Rhinolophus ferrumequinum: one gene and its partner. The protein of the gene in region 1 interacts with the protein of each later gene in a biochemical or structural test. Links are inferred from orthologs where the notes say so. Each region holds a gene or a part of one and is shown on either strand. Other genes may lie near its edges.

What was found. The genes of interacting proteins can lie anywhere in the genome.
Region 2: the proteins of CSTA (region 1) and cathepsin L1 form a complex in vitro, tested with the Homo sapiens proteins (2 studies listed by BioGRID). The link is inferred for Rhinolophus ferrumequinum from reciprocal best matches to the Homo sapiens genes CSTA and CTSL.

The regions. Positions count from the first base shown.
Region 1 is NC_046285.1:47,138,668-47,147,044, reverse strand, and holds the start of CSTA (cystatin-A), read right to left. Parts: upstream 3,278-8,377; 5' UTR 3,198-3,277; coding exon 3,132-3,197; intron 1-3,131. UniProt on the Homo sapiens protein: This is an intracellular thiol proteinase inhibitor. Has an important role in desmosome-mediated cell-cell adhesion in the lower levels of the epidermis.
Region 2 is NC_046295.1:6,969,721-6,978,321, forward strand, and holds the start of cathepsin L1, read left to right. Parts: upstream 1-4,946; 5' UTR 4,947-5,098; intron 5,099-5,537; 5' UTR 5,538-5,548; coding exon 5,549-5,674; exon of another isoform or gene 5,675-5,788; coding exon of another isoform or gene 5,789-5,791; intron 5,792-5,974; coding exon 5,975-6,097; intron 6,098-6,193; coding exon 6,194-6,340; intron 6,341-6,526; coding exon 6,527-6,751; intron 6,752-7,186; coding exon 7,187-7,349; intron 7,350-7,991; coding exon 7,992-8,109; intron 8,110-8,601. UniProt on the Homo sapiens protein: Thiol protease important for the overall degradation of proteins in lysosomes. Plays a critical for normal cellular functions such as general protein turnover, antigen processing and bone remodeling.

The sequences.
Region 1 (8,377 bases):
TATAAACATAGTCAGAATTCTCATCCAATGTCTTTTTTACATTTGATATAAGATAATGGATCAGCAATAATGGTCCAGAAGCTTTTGCTGGTAGGGCCATTCATTTGGTCCTTAATTATATGTATTATGGCTTTTCATGTATGGGGTCATGTATGGCTCTTTATTTCCTTGTGTGTATCTCTTACTTCCAATCTATTTTGTCAATTTCCGTAATGGCAGAGACTATCTTTATATCCTTTCCCTTCCTATAGCAATTCACATGGTACTGTTTACATAATCAATGTTTTCTGAACGAAGAGATTCATGACAAGTTGTCTCCCCAAATAGGAAAGAGGATCGACGAGAGGTATAGCAAAGACGCTCGACTAATACAGAGAATCTTGGAAGAGGAGGTTTCTTTCAGGTGTACTCTGGACCCAAGTCCCGTTAGCATCCCTTCGTACATGATTCCACAATTACCATCCAGTCTCTGTTATTTTTAGGACAGGGAAACTCTTTTCTTCTCTCTTCAAAATGTTCAAGTCATTTTAAACGCAAGCTCTTTGTTTGATCTTCTCTTTCTGACCTCATCCAACATTCTTCTTTCATTTTGACGTCAAATTCCTACAGTTATAATTTTCCTTCGATGCTGCCCCCCTCTATGTGATAACTTCCCCCTCCCCTCCCTGCCTAATGGGGCTTTTCCTTCCATTGGCATTTCACTAAGAAGCTCTGATAAAGACAAGGAAAGCTAAACATCAGCTTCTCCAAAAGTACCTGTATTTTAGAGAGTGATTTTTCAAATAGAAATATATTAAAAAATCAAAGGACTGAAACTGTCAGGTAAATGACAGGTGATGGTGGTCTTTCCTGGGACTCTCTCAAATCATACTAGATATGTGATTACCAACACCTACCCATGTGTCTGGCCCTGCCGGGGGACCTAATTCTGTAATCTTGGAGAAGGTGTTGATCAAATTTCCATACCTAAAAGTGGTTATAGTAATACCTGCCTCTTAGGGTTGTTTGTGGGGGAATAAATGATATAATTGATGTGAAAGTGCTTCCTAAACTATAAAGTGCTTCCTAGATTGACTATTCCTCTATCTTCCAACACTTAACTGAGAATTGTTCCCTAAGGCTGTCTCCTGTGAGAGAGGGAAGGTAAATGATAATTAGGAGTTTAACACTGGAGAAGCTGAACACAGTAATTATTCACCTGAAAATAAGGGGTTTGATAAGCAAACTCTGAAGTCCTTCCTGGTCCAAGGCCTATGATTATGAAAAAGTACTTAATTGGAGATGGTTTTATATGTTCCAGATATCTTGACTTCCCTACATGGGCAGTATACTCCTTGAAGGCAGGGACCACATCTTACAGTCTTTATGTATCTTCTATAACATTGAATACATTGCGGGACACCTAAGAGATATTTAAGGAAGGATTCATTGATATTCATTTCTCAGGTTGGAGCCTGAGGTAAGCAGCAAAAAACACACATTCAAATGAATTTATAATATAATATATGGCTCACAGATGGGTGGTATTACAAACACAAGGCCTTTTGGTAACTTCTTAGTATTAAAAAAAATTCTTGCTCACCAAGATAGGCTTTTAAAAAATCATTAAAAATTTCTGTACTTGTATATTTCAAATCTGTTATTTCCCATCCCCCTTACAGCTCTGGTCCCTGGAGAGTCTCAGGAGTATTTTCTAGGATCAGGGATGATTTCAGGCAAAAATGTGAAATAAGGAATTGTGATGCCTCACCAATGCGTATTTCTTTCTTGTTTTCAAGTCATCTCTATGCAAATGATCTATCTCATTTAGTCCTTACAGTTCTGAGATCCATAGGACAAGAGGTGTTATCTTGGTTGCTCAAATGAAATTGAGAATTTGTTTTGCAGCACTCTGAGTTTAGAAAGCCCATCGCTACAGTCCTCTTAGGATATCACATTTCTCTGGTTCTGAAGGTCAGTGAGGTCATGGACAAGCAGCATGGGCCTCACCTGAGAACAGGTTGGAAATGCAGAGTATCAGGCCCACCCCAGCCCTACTGAGTCAGAATCAGCACTTTAACAGGCGTGATTCGCGTTCACATTCAAGTTTAAGAACACTGACCCTCTATAGGCCTTCAAAGGAAGGTATGAGTAAGTCAGTATTATCTTCCACAAGACTAAACCACAAAAAGCAAACAAATGAAAAACTCTAAGGTATTTCTTTTTTAAAAGGACTCTTGGAAGGGAAATATTTAGCCCCAAAGAATGAGTGGTAGAATTCCAGACATCTGATCTCTTAGAAAGCTTTCCGGCGACCGAACGTGAAGCATCTCATCTCTTCCACTCCCATAAGAAGCTGATCTTGGTTGCAAACAGTGTCATAGAATGAAGTTTCAGCAAGAAATAGCAAGAAGGATTGATACAAGAAACTAGAGAATGATACAAACCTAAGATAGTAATTTATATGTATTTTCTTTTCATTAAATATGCAATATAATATATTTTTATTATATAGGTGATAGCTAATCAAACAACACATTAAAAAATGTATCAACTTGCTAAAAACATTAAGAGTCATTTCCACCATAATCAATTTTGGAGTTGTCATAGACTATTCCACTTCTCTTTTATACTAGTTTAATCATCTTCTACATACTGAAAGACTGAAACATTGTCTATTTAGTCAAATTTGTAGGAAGTTGTAAGGGCATTGGCTTTGCAATGTTGTTCTTCATTCAACCCATTTAAAAAATTTCCCAGCACTGCATTTGAAGTCTAACTCGTTCAATTGTTAACCTCAGACTTTAATTACATGTTGGTTCTACTTGGTGAGATTAGAAGTTTCATCAGAAACTGAATTAGTAATCCTAACATCACACATTGTAAAAGCTTTAGAGATGATCCAATAAAAATCCTTCTTTTACCAATGGGGAAACTAAAGCACAGAGGAGGGATGGGACTTGGCTCAAGTTCACTCTCACAGTTGGGGTTATTAGAGTTTTCATCTCAAAAGACTAAGTTGTAAGAAAGTCTGAACAATACCACACATTTCCCAGTGTTTTGGTTTTCATGTTCACCCACACACTTAGCACAGGACCAACCCAGGAACTCAAATTTTGGATCAAACCTTTCCGTGGGGTGCATTAGCTCACCTCATTAGCAATCTCCTGGATTTCTGGAGTGGCAGGTTTGGCTTCAGTTAAACCTCCAGGCATCATTTTGGCTAATTGCTCCTTTGCTGGGCAGGATACTGGAACTGAAGTGATCAGGTTAGCGTGGAGACTCTGGTTTTTAAAGAGGGTGTTGCTCACAAGCTCCGCCTACAAAAAGAAGGTTTTATTTTTCACAGAGGGCAAAAAGGCACAGGGACAGATGAGTATGCTCTGAGGTAAGTCTTCCTGCGTCCTCAACAGAATAGCTAACAGGAATTTGGAGGAATGAGGGGCTGGAAATGAACAACTGGGTCTGCACTAGGAGTCAAACAGGAGCAAGTATCAAACTTCCCTTCGTTCCCTTTGACAATGGTTCCATCCTGTTGCATCTGAAGTGTGAAATCTAAAGCCACGGCCAGTTTCCCAGTGTTTTAAAACCTCTCAGACAAAATTTTATTTTTTAAAAGGAGTATTTATTAATAATGTCAAGGTTGATTGTTTAGAATTTACTTGACTATAAAGAATGTAAAAGGATCTATCTGGAGAATTGTGCTGGGTATTGGTGTTTTTTGTTTATATTTCTAGAACTGTTTAAAATACAGGAAAATACGCAGAATAAAATAACAAACACTTATATTCCTATCACCCAGAATTAAAACTTTTAACATATTTGCTTTTTATCTTTTTTTTTTGTAGTTGTTTTTAACAAATAAAATATTACAGGCCGCCCCCAAGCCCCACCTCTGACTTGGTCCTCCACAGAGGGAAACTGCATTTGTGAGTTTCATGTCCTTCTAACCCATTTTTATACTTTTATTTAGTGTGTTTTTAAAAATCTACCTAAATTGTATGCCAAGCATATATTCTATATTATACTTTTTTTTCTACTTTTCTTTTTCTTTTTCTTTTTCTTTTTTATACTTTTCTTTTATAAATGGCACAAATGGTACCCTACTATATAAACTATCATATACTTTGCTATACTCCTAACGATGTATTTTGGAGATTATTCTATATTATTACTTAGCAAGGTGCTCCATTCTTTGTAATATTTGGCAGGTGCTTGACAAATTCTTGGAGATAGGCAGGTGTCTTGCTGGGTAATTTAGGGGGTGCTATGCAGATGGCTGTCCATGGAATGCCTTCACCCATGAACTGAGAAGAATAGCAAATATAGATGACACGGTGTTCACCCAACTGGTCACAATTTGTCTTAAGACTTTGGCTCAGCTCTGGCCACAGATAATTCTTGACATCTTCCTGTGAATTTCTTAAGTCAGGTCTTCTCATATCCAGCCCATTTCTCTGTTCGCCATCTAGTCCAGGTGATCCTTACCTAATCTCCCTGGGGGTCAGACATAGGGTAAGGAGCATTTCTTCTATTCTTTTTCTAAAGTCTATGCCCTGTTACTCTCAGGTATTCTGTCTTGATGCTCAGTCATTTCTTTTAAAAGCAAAAAATGCCACAAAGCAAATATTGCTTTTGTCTTTGCATTCCTACTATAATATTCTAGTTCTTCTCACGGTAGGGCAGATGCCTCTGACTCACAAGAAGAGTCACATACAAGACGTGCAGAAAAGAAAAGCACAACAACTGATATCTCTGTGTTAATTGTTTAATTAATAAACACACAATTAATTAAATACACATTTATTTTTAAGTAACTTTAAGATTGCTCTATTGACTTTTGTTGGGTATTTTTTGGTATTAGTTATTCAGGTTATTTTCATGGAACTCAACATTCTTATATGTTTTGTATTTCTTGTCTGTGAGCTCATCTTCCACAGGAATTATCTTCTATGGGAAATTTCCCTCTTGGGGGGCTGGGTTATGGGCTTTCTTCTGGGGTAAATGTCTTTACTGGACCCTATGGGGTACACAGGTCCCAAACTAGGTGTTATTTTACTGTTGGCTTAGGGCTCTGGAATCAGGAAAATACTGAGAATTTGAGCTTATCTCCAGCTTTTGGCACAGGCTTGGGGCTGTGGACTTCTCTAGCTACCTATGCTTCCACCCGTGCCTTGGACTAATGTATAGCTAGACTCACTATATACCCTACAGGAATTTACCTAAAGAAAGTGAAAATATATGTCCACACAAAGACTTGTGTACAAATATTTATAGCAGTATAATTCATAATAGCCTAAAACTGAAAATGAACCAAATGTCCACCAACTGATGAATAGATTAAAAACATTATATATAATACTCAACATAATGTTGAGTACTACTCAACAATAAAAAAGAACAAAGTGGTAATACATTCAATAGCATCATAACTTTGACTCAAAAACAAGTCAAAGTAAAAAGGCATCAAGTAAAAAAGGTCAAACATAAAAGACTATGTACTACAGTATTCCATTTATATGAAACCCTGGAAGAGACATAATTATAGTGATAAAAAACAGAGCAGAGATTGCCTGGGGCTGTGGGTGGGTGGGTGAAAGGATCAACTGCAAAAGGGACACAAGGAAATATTTTAGGGATATGGAACATTTAGTTCTTTATCTAGATTATGATAGTGGTTACACGACTACCATGAATTTAAGTATATAGTTACCAAAGTTCATCAAATTGTACACATAAAATGAGTGGACTTTACTGTATATGTTATACCCCTAAAAAGCTGGGATAAAAAAGCACCATCTTTTAAATACCTTCTTTATGTCCCTTGGTCTTGCTTTTATACTGCTTTCTCTGATGTTTTTCCATTAGAGTCTTAACTACCACTGTATTAACATATTGCCTTAAAGGAGGTTGCAAAGCCCCCACTTGAAGTGTGTGTCCAAAGGGAGGACAAAGTTTCTCCTCCTGGTCATCCTTAGGGTGAGGGAAAAGTAGGAGGTAAGGTTCATTGAAAATGAATGGGTCATGGAAAGCAGGCGAAATATTTTATACTTTACTTGTCGGGTAACAGAGGTCACTAACATTTTTGAACTGTACAGAAACCTCTTGTGCTTTAGGAAGATAAAACTAGAAGCAATGTGTAGGTTGAATTGGAGGGACAGATGCTGGAGACAGAAAGATTGATTAGAAGTTATCACAATGGAACAACGAAAAGTGAATCCTGATCTAGTGTTGTGTCAGATGGATTAGAGAGGAATGGGATGGATATGACAACTTATAAAAATAGTATTAGGAGGTAGGGAAGGACAAGATAAAAGGAGCCAGGTGGATGATGGAGCTTTTGTTTGGATGTCCAGGAAAATAATTGTACTATTAATAGAACTTGGGAATACAGGAGGAAGAGCATGTTTAAGCAAATTGTCAATATTGAAAATATAAAGATATAACTGGGAAGAGAAAACCACCTCTCTTCTTTCCAGGCAAATCCTGGGGCAAATGAAGATCTTAGCAAAACAATTTAATCAAGGCTTTACGAATATAATGTGAAAATCAGAAATAATGAGCCTTGCTATTCCAGTGGCCTTAGTTACAGAAATTTACCTTTCAATCATATTTCATAAAAAGTCTTATGAAATAAAAAATGCTACACTCAGTAAAGATGAGGATGTAAAGATAAGGAAGGAGAGAAGGCTGGAGAACATGAACACACCAGTGATCTTTGGGGCACACACCAGAAAACAATGTTGGGTAGACGAAAGTCTTGCTTGAGTCAATGTCATCGTAGTATGTTATCAATAATTAAAAATTTTGTCTTGTTACTAAGAAGCACAAGAATCTCTCCCATGAGAGTCAGATGTTACCTACCATAAAATATAATTTTTTTTCAAATATGGTCTAAAACAGAACCTTTTTGTATGATATAATTCATCTGTTTCTAAGAAGAAATTAGCTTTCCTGGTAAAATACTTAAGCAATTTTTTGATGAACTTTAATGGTTTGTTATGGAAACCTTTCCATAAAGGTTTGTTATGGAAACCTACTTATTTTCTCATAAAATAACTAGTTGCTTTATTAAAAAAAGCCTGGTTAACTGGAACTTTTTAAATTTCTTACACTGGCTATGGATGTGGTAAATTATTACTGTTCCAATAAAATGTTTAAAATTATAAAATATGTTAAACTCAATTGAATTATAATAACTGCTATCTTAAAATGATTTGCTGTTATAAACTTCTTCCTTATACACCATAAGGATCTAGTTATTCCTTTTACACTCTGTGGGTAAAAGTTGTAACCGCCTCTTTGACAAACTTTCCATATCAGCTTTTGTTTCTCTGTAGTTTGTCATACAAGGAAGCGAATCAATAAGTGGGGTAAGCTACAAGGCAGCCTTTTTCCTGAGATTGGCAGGGGGAAGAGAGGTGAATGAGAACAATAAAATATTAAAAAATAAAAATCGACTGTGCAGCAATGTGAATGTGCTGAATACCACTGTACACCTAAAATGAATAAAATTACACATTTTATGCGTGTGTGTATGTTTTTATTGTGATACAATAAAAACATAAAACTAAAAATCATGGAGGACCACGGCGGGGAAAGGCAGGAGGTTAGGCTAGCACGCTTTGTAGTCAGGAGGCTGCTGGAGTGATTTAGGTCTGAGGTCATCAACATCTGGCTTTGGCTGTGAATAATTTTCTGTGTTTTGTCATAGCTGTAGCATAGACGTCACCCTGCATTGCAAATAAGTCCTCCTCCTTAAGTCTCCTGCCTTCCAGGAAGACACTGCCACCCACCCAGCTGCTCAGGGCAGAAGCCATGAAGTCACGGCCGATTTCCTTATCTCCATACCCAATCCATCAGAAAATTCTACACAGAAAAATTCTTGCACAAAAATACTATGTGCTGTTTGTTCCCCACAAAATAATCAGAGCGGTCTTTTGTAAACACAGATTAGATGGTGTCACTCCCCTGGATAAATTCCTTTAATATCTTCCCACTGGATTAAGAAAAAAAACCAAGAAATCTAAACCCCTCACCATGGACCAGTAGGCCTTGCATAACTCAGTTTTTGCCTAACTCTCTAACCTCACTTCATGACACTTTCCCCCTTAATGCTCTCTGGATGCCCTGGTCTCATTTGGTTCCCAGAACATGCCAAGCTTCTCCCCACCTCTGCCTCTGGGCCCTTGATGTTCTTGAGTTTGCAATGCTCTTTCCCAGGTTCTTCACTGAGTCCTTTCCATCACATCTCAGCAGAAATGTTATGTTATAACAGAGAACTTCTCTTCCACCGCCCACCCCTCTAGTCTCTCTTATGTCATCTTCTTTGTTAATAGTACTATTCACAATCTGTGCTACTTTTGGTTATTTTTGTACTTTTGCACTCTTGGTTGTC
Region 2 (8,601 bases), on another chromosome or scaffold:
CACAGGAACCACTGAGAAACCCAGCCTCCACTTTGGAGAACTAACCCGCCCTCTGAATAAGGAATCTGATCTCTCTTCAGCGTCACTGCTAACATGGCCTGATGAAATAGCATGTAAGAGCTCAGTATAGAACACAGTTCTGACCCACGGAAGCAACAACACTTCCCTTAAATGATTTTATTAGTAACAGCATCCTGCGCCCAGATGGTGTTCTCCCTCTCCAGGGGGAGAAGTCAAGTGGATGGCAGACCGCACAGGTCAGATTTGCAGAAGAGATCCTCTGGCCTCCAAAGGAGAATTTATGGATTACCGACCTGGGGATGGGGATGAGAGGGCGGGAAGAAGTGCTACAGGTCACCTCCCTGGTTACCTCCTGCTCCAAGACACTTGTCATGATTTCGTTGACATACATCCATCATGTTCTGTGCCCATTGCTGTAAAATCAAGATTACTGCAGTAACCTTAGTTTTTTTTTTTTTTTTTTTTTAAGATTTTATTGGGGAAGGGGAACAGGACTTTTACTGGGGACAGTGTGTACTTCCAGGGCTTTTCCAGGTCAAGTTGTTGTCCTTTCAATCTTAGTTGTGAAGGGTGCAGCTCAAGATTTTTTAATGAAAAGGTTAAGCTTGAGAAAGGGACTTGTAAATTGTTTCTAAAGAAATGCTGAAAAAACACCAAGCAGAGGACAATGAGCACAAGACCAGAGCTTAATTAGTTCTTGTTGATTGATTTACTTAATGAATTAGCTGACTGTTCAGCCCTAAAGGAAAATCAGGGTTATAGAATCATACAAAAGTAATTTATTTCATAAGCGGCTTCATACAAACATCAAGGTTCTTTTCCATGAAATTGTAAATGGTAATGGTTCAAAAAAAAAAAAAAAACAACCCCTGCTCGCCACTAGAAAGGCAATACTCTAGAGACAAGTGTCAGTGGAAAGGAAAGCTTGCTTTATTCAGGAAACCAGCAGCCTGGGAAGACAGCAGACTTCTGTCCTAAGAGTATCTCTGAAGTTGCAGAACAAGCAGAGGAGTTTAAAAGGAAAGGGGGAGAAGGGAGTTTCAGAGAACTGAGAAAGAAGGCTGTTTCTTTAGTCATAGATGACGATTTTCCACATCAGACCCCTGGGCGCTTGCAGCTGGTCACAGCTACCTTGGAGACGTTCCCTCCTTCTGCAAAACAAACTAATAAATTCTCCTCGAGACCCTGAAGTTATTTCCTCCTGCTTGACAAAGAAACAACACATCAGCAACACAAAATTATACTGTGAGAACAAGAGAAGCTGAGCAAGAAGAGCAGTTAGCCTGTGAACAAAGGTCTAATTGAGAATCAAATTATTTAATTCTATTATAGATGCCAAAATACCAGAGGCATTAAAATTACAAGGGGCTCGTTATAGTAATAAACTACAAATGAGTAACTTTTTAAAAGAGTAATTCCTAGCTCGCTGAATTTAAACAAATTGGAGGGGGTTGTCATATTAGGGAGAGGTAAATGGCCTCGGGGTCTTGAATACCACCACGCTAATTTGTTCATTCCCCTATGGCTTGAAACTTCGAGATGGGGTAAAGAATTACATCCTGTTTTACTAGTGAGCAAAAGAAATCCAGACAGATGCACACAAGAATATGCTTTCACAGATGCTGTATTTTAAATAGGAATTGGGAAATCTGCCAACTGCATTTTAGCAAAAGGCAGAGCTGAGGATTGGTCACTTGCATAAAATGTAACCATTTTAAGAATTAGCACTTACCCAGATTGTCTGGCAAAGAAATGGAGACAGGAGATTAGGAATAAGAACAAAATGGTTAGCTATGCCGTCTTTCTGTAATTCATCATTTAACAGATTTTGTACAAATAGATGTTACAGTTTCTTGCTTAAATGGCCTTCTCCCATATTTCTCTGGCACTTAGATATGTCTTGGTCTCATTCCAGATTTGGGGCACATTTGGTAGAAAAGGAGTCCATGCTTTCTCTCCAGTGTATCGTACCACATCCCAAGAAACAAAGGGGATGCTGATGTAGGAGGTTTTTATTGTGAGTGCTGGGAGCATGTCTCGGGAGACCGAAGAATGGAAACACGAACCAAGGAGAGGTGAGGAGTTTTAAAAAGAGAGTAGTTTATTAAAAGCAAAGGGTCAGAGCTCCCGAGCAAGCGGGAGGGGGTCCCGAATGGGGTGCCCAGTGACTGCGGCAAAAGCTCTTACTTTTATACCTTCCCCTGCCTGCTTGGGGAAGGGGAGCTGGTGCCTTTTAATGGAAGTCATCTATCACGTTTGTCCTGTTAGCCCGTCCTGAAGGGATTAGCAAAATAACCCATTCCTATCTATCAAATCTGCTCTGTTTGCCAGGCCAAAAGGGATTTATGAGATAATTTATTAACCTCAAGGCGCTGTTTTATTTTGTCCTGGAGTGAAGGAGTTATCTCAGAACCTGAAGTTTCAGGATATGGCTGTCTTTGTTTATTCCACTAGGGACTTTCTTGTCTGCCTAACAACATGCTAATTAACCTGTCTCAATGCCATTGTTTGGAGCAGGACCTGCCACACAGCCTCCTGTGAGGCTATTGCCTAAAGTGCAGGCAGTCATGCCGTGGCAGGTTTTCCACCGTGTGCAATCTTGTGGAGCTGTGACCCAAGGGCAACTGAAAAACCATATATTAGAATATGGACTGAGGTTTTTTTCAATGATTGATTGTGTTGGTATATTTTTTAAAAATTTTAGACCTCCAGTCATTTACAATACGACATACATTTGTAACCAGCTAAGAGCTTCAGCCTCTAGTCATGTTTGAGAAAGAAGAGCTTTGATTTCCTCAAAGACTTTAAAATGAATTTTTTAATGGATTGATTTTGTTAAAATTGTATGGGATTGCCAGAACTATTCAATAGGGAAAATATGATCGTTTCAACAAACGATGCAGGAAAAATGGAATGTCCACATGCAAAAGACTTAAGTTGGACCCTTACCTTATACCATATATAATAAATTTTTAGGTGAAAACACAAAGGAATAGCCTCATGATATTGAACTTAATAATAACTTTTTGGTTATGACACCAAAAGAACAGGCAACCAAAGAAAAAATAGATAAAACAAACTTTATCAAAATTAAAAACTTTGTATATCAAAGGACGCTATAGACTTAATGACAGGCAACTCACAGAATTCGAGAAAATGTTTGCTAATCATGTTATATTGGAACCCTCCCTGTGCAATGCTGATAGAAATGTAAAACGGTCCAGCCACCACGGTTAACAGAAAAAAATTAAACATAAACTTATCATATCCAGCAAATCCATTTCTGGTTATATACCCTAAGAACTGAAAACAGGAATTCAAACATTTGTACAACTATGTGGACAGCAACATTATTCAAAACAGGCAAATGTGTAAATAACCCATATGTCTATCCAGGGATGACTGAAGAAACAAAATTGGGTACATTCACACAATGGAGTATTACTCACCTTTTTAAAACAGGAAATTCTCATGCGTTATACCATGGACGAACCTTGAAGATGGTATCTTAAGTGAAATAACCAGGTGCAAAAGGGCAAACATTGCATGATTCTACTTAATGTGAGGCAGCTAGAGTAGTTAAATTCATAGATAGAGAAGATAGAATAGTGGTTGCCAGGGGGTGGGGGAAGGGAGGAATGCATTGTTATTGTGTAATAGACACAGAGTTTTAGTGGGAAGATGAAAAAGTTCTGAAGATGGATGGTGGTGATGGTTGTGCAACAATGTGAATGGTCTTGATGCCACTAATTGTACACTTAAAAATCATTAAAATACACATCTTTGTATTATGTATATGTCACCACAGGAAAACAACAACAACAACAACTATGCAACTGATAGCGCTTCTAGAAGGTTTATCATTTTAATCCTAAATAGAAATTAGTTTACAAGTCCACATGAAACATGACACATTTTTATCAAAAGACTTCAAAATATGCATGGAAAAAGGTGAAATGGTAAGGGAAATGAGGTAATGATATTTTTTCTAGAAGGTATTTTCAGCAATGAATATTTTTTTGTAATAAAAGGACCAACATACAATGTTTCTGGTTTGTGTTCCTTAAATTCTTATGTATATTAATATTTAATATATAAATATATTTTTCCTCCATTTAAAGCGTTTTCACAAACTGTCACTTAAATCCTGACATCACCTGTAAAAATCATTGAAGCAAAAGTCATCAAAATAAATTTCTTAAATTAAATCTCAAGAAAAGCACATTGGATATTGACGAAGACAACAATCCATGAAGCAGAGAGGGAGGAGGTAAAAGCAGTTTCTACTTTCAGCCAATACCATTTCAACATTTTTTCTGTAAATAACTTACTTCTGTTGGTTTTGAGACAGGCTTGAGAGGGAAGAAAAATCCCTGAATCCCCGAGTGTGGAAGACAGGACAGGGGCATTACAAAATGCCACGCCTTCTGTGGAGAACCACCAGTCCTCCCCTTTCCTTGCCACGATTAGGGCATGCTTTGGGCATTGCCATTCCATTCCAAATCCTTCCAAAACCCAGATGCACCCATCCCGAAACAATAAGGACACATCTGCCTGTAGGCTCTGAATTCTTCCACTTCGTTCCACATTTACTGTGGAATAAACAGGAACAACTAGAGTAGATTATCGTGTTCTCAGCCCTCTTGACAGTTTAACCAAAAATTCTGGACTAAAGTGCAGACAGGCTCACGCTGAAAATCCACTTGGGGCTCCCTGTAAGCTTCTTTTCGTGAGCCACCCACCAAAGATATGAATTAGAGGTAATTCGTTGATCCGGGTCCCAGGGAGGCACGGGAACCCTCTCAGCGCTGTCCCAGGGCCCCCAGCTCGCCTCCCCCAGGGTCCAACTTGCTCTTGGACAAGTTGGGACCCAGCCTGGTCACGCGCCCCGAGTCTCAGCACCCGAAGGCCCCGCCCACAGTCCGGCTCAGCTAATCTCGGGGCGGGCAGGCCGTGGGGGCCGGGCCGACTGGTTGAATACTAGGTCCTTATATCGTCGGTCTGGGGGCCATACTCCGGCCTGAGACTCCTGGAACAGCACGTACTGACAGCCCTTGGGCAGCTGCTCCCTCAGCAGGTGAGCGTCCCCCCCCCCCCTGCTCCCGCCCCGGCCTCAGCCTGGAGTGGCGGGACTATTTCGAGAACCAGGGCGGCTGACACCTTGGGGATCGAAGGTTCAGGGGGTCCCAGGAGTCGATGTCGATGTCCGCTGTGCTGTGGGGGCCGCCGCTCCCTGTCCACGACAACATCCTCTGCAAGCGACTGGCTTGTGCTGGAGAGTTGGGAGCAGATGGCACGCCCCCTGCCGGGTTCGGTCGGCCCTGAGTTGGTTCTCACATCTGGAGGGCCTGGCCCTGTCTGGGCTCTGGAATGGGGTCTCAGGGCCGTTTTCTCCACCCACAGCCTTATCCTTCCTCCACAGTCCTTGTGTAATTACTTGGGAGAATAAATTAAATGTTTTTACTCCATCGTGGTGGACTGGTCTAATCAGAGACTCATTCCTTTGCTCTTCCTAGGTTTTTGAAACATGAATCCTTCAATCACCCTGAATCTCCTTTGCCTGGGAATAGCCTCAGCTGCTCCAAAAGCTGATCACAGTTTAGATGGACAATGGAACCAGTGGATGGCAACACATGGGAAACTATATAATGAGGTTGATAACGACTGAAACTGTCCAGAGGGACCCTGCAGAGAATGGTCCAAGCTGTTGGGAGTTTACAGCAGAGAGTAGCTTCTTGAGGCCAGCTCTTAACAAGGCAATATCTTCATGGTACCTACTGCTTAGAACAATAGGGCATTCATCCCTATTTTGTGGGTGCTGGAGAACAACTCCCAGAAGTATAAAGCCAGCCCCGGCCATAGTTTCTGTTCCTCTCTCTCTGCAAATCCACTTGGTGAAGGTGAGTTGATTCTGAATAGAAATAAAGACAATACGGTATATGTTTGCCTCTAGAATGAAGAAGGATGGAGGAGAGCAGTGTGGGAGAAGAATATGAAAATGATTGAACTGCACAATCAGGAATACAGCCAAGGGAAACAAAGCTTCACCATGGCAATGAATGCCTTTGGTGACATGGTAAGCATAGAAGGCTTACCGTTTCGTGCTTCTGCTCCTCACTGATTTACCAAAATAATCTCTTCCTTTATAACATTTATTTCCTTTTCCTTGAAGACCAGTGAAGAATTCAGGCAGGTGATGAATGGCCTTCAATACCAGAAGCACAGGAAGGGGAAAGTATTCCGAGAACCTCCCTTGGCTGAGATCCCCCCTTCTGTGGATTGGAGAGAGAAGGGCTATGTAACTCCTGTGAAGGATCAGGTAGGACAGTGTGCAGCAGCTCTCTCTCCTAGAGCAAAACCATAAAGGAGTTAGTGTCCTTGATATGGTGGACTGGGGAACAACATGCAGTTTGCTATTTTTTAAAAGAGCTTTCAGATATATCAGCTGTTGTCAACATCTTGCTATTTGTTTTGTAGACAGAGCACTTTAAAATTGTGTTTTCAGGGTCAGTGTGGTTCTTGTTGGGCTTTTAGTGCAACTGGTGCCCTTGAAGGACAGATGTTCCGGAAAACTGGCAAACTTGTTTCGCTGAGTGAGCAGAACCTGGTGGACTGCTCTCGGTCTCAAGGCAATGAGGGCTGCGATGGTGGCCTAATGGACAATGCCTTCCAGTATGTCAAGGAAAACAGAGGCCTGGACTCAGAGGAATCCTACCCATATCATGCAAAGGTAAAAGGCGCTTCATATCTTGTTATCATACCAGCTCTGCTTTTGAGTGTTGAACACTTTAGAGAAAACAGATAACGTATTTATAATTCACATTTTAGATTGTAGAATCTATATGTGCAAACGGTCAGAACTGCACAGTTCTCTGTTTAGATGGTTACCATATGTCTGCTCCTACCTCTGTGTTACATGGAGATATATATACCATTCTATGTATAGTATTTCTAAAGAGGGAAAAAGGTCTATGGATAGATACGAGTAGACTGACTGTATCTCATTGAATAGACACCAGATAGTTTCAAAGGAACCAATAACATTGCACCTCCTGGAATGCTTTAGACAAACTTGACCTGGAAATCATTAAGCTACAAACTATGTTGAACTCATGTTCCCCAGGAGGTGGGTCAGAATAAAGTTTCTCGCTTTTACCTTTGAAAGGATGAATCCTGCAAATACAAGCCTGAGTTTTCTGCTGCGAATGACACTGGTTTCGTGGACATCCATAAGCGGGAGAAGGCCCTTATGAAGGCAGTGGCAAGTGTGGGACCCATCTCTGTTGGTATAGATGCAAGCTATAGCTCCTTCCAGTTTTATAAAAAAGGTAAGCGTTTTTCTTTGTACAAATTTAGGCAGAAAAATTAGAAAACCACCCTGACATACAGCAAAATTTTTTCTTTGGAATGGAGAATTCAATGTAGAATTTCTGGATGTGTGGATTTAACTAGCTGTATATTCCGTACATGTAATATTTGTGCCTGATGTTTCCATTTGACATTATTTAAGCACTTCATAAATATATTAAATGCCTTTATAATTCGATTGGTATAGCTTTACTTATTTTACTTTTTAAAAAACTGTTAGACCTTTAAAATTTTCAAATATTTTTACTACTGCAATTAAAACTGGAAAGAACCCTTGCTTCAAGTAACTTTGTGTTCTGTGCTGTTTCCTTAGACTGGCATACTAAAAGTAGAATGACAAGGTTTCAACAAATGGTTGTTTATGCCTCTTGATAAGTTATTTATAAAAATGATAGTGGCAATTTGTATTGCTGCTAGTAATATAGGAGGGCCAAAATCCTGAGCCTAGATTGTTTTTTAAAAAATCTTGTTTTTAAGTCTTATCTGGATGTCTGTCATCCAACTGAATTTTGAGATGCCTCCCTTACTGTGGTTGCTAAGCTGAGTTACTGTCATGTGTCACTTGGAGGGCATCACACCAGGACTGAACTTGACTTTCGCAGGCATTTATTATGAACCAAAATGCAGCAGTGAAGACCTGGATCATGGAGTACTGGTGGTTGGCTACGGCTTTGAAGGAGCAGAACTGGATAACAATAAATATTGGATTGTCAAGAACAGGTATAAAATACCAAAAATAGTTACATTTAATATTGGAAAGGGAATCCTATTTGGATCCAGGTCCTCAAAACCTTGAGCACCTTCTGGAAACCCAGAAGTCTTTATCCCACTTAGGGTGAAAATGGACATATGACTGTTTAATCGTAACATTAAACAGGGGTTTAATATATATGACCCCATATAAAGGGGGTCAAATATATGATGATGGAAGGAGAACTGACTCTGGGTGGTGAGCACACAATGTGATATATACATGATGTACTATAGAGATGTACACTTGAAACCTGTGTAATTTTGTTAACCATTGTCACCCCAATAAATTTAATAATAATAATAAAAAGATACTACCTCAAGCTTGCTAGGGCATTGATATAGTTTTGGTACCATTTCATTTCTAAATTTGAAAATTTTCTGAATTCTGAAACACATCTGGCCCCAAGAGTTCCTTTTTCCAGTTTCTAATTTTGCAGTTCTGTGAAAGGTATATGGATA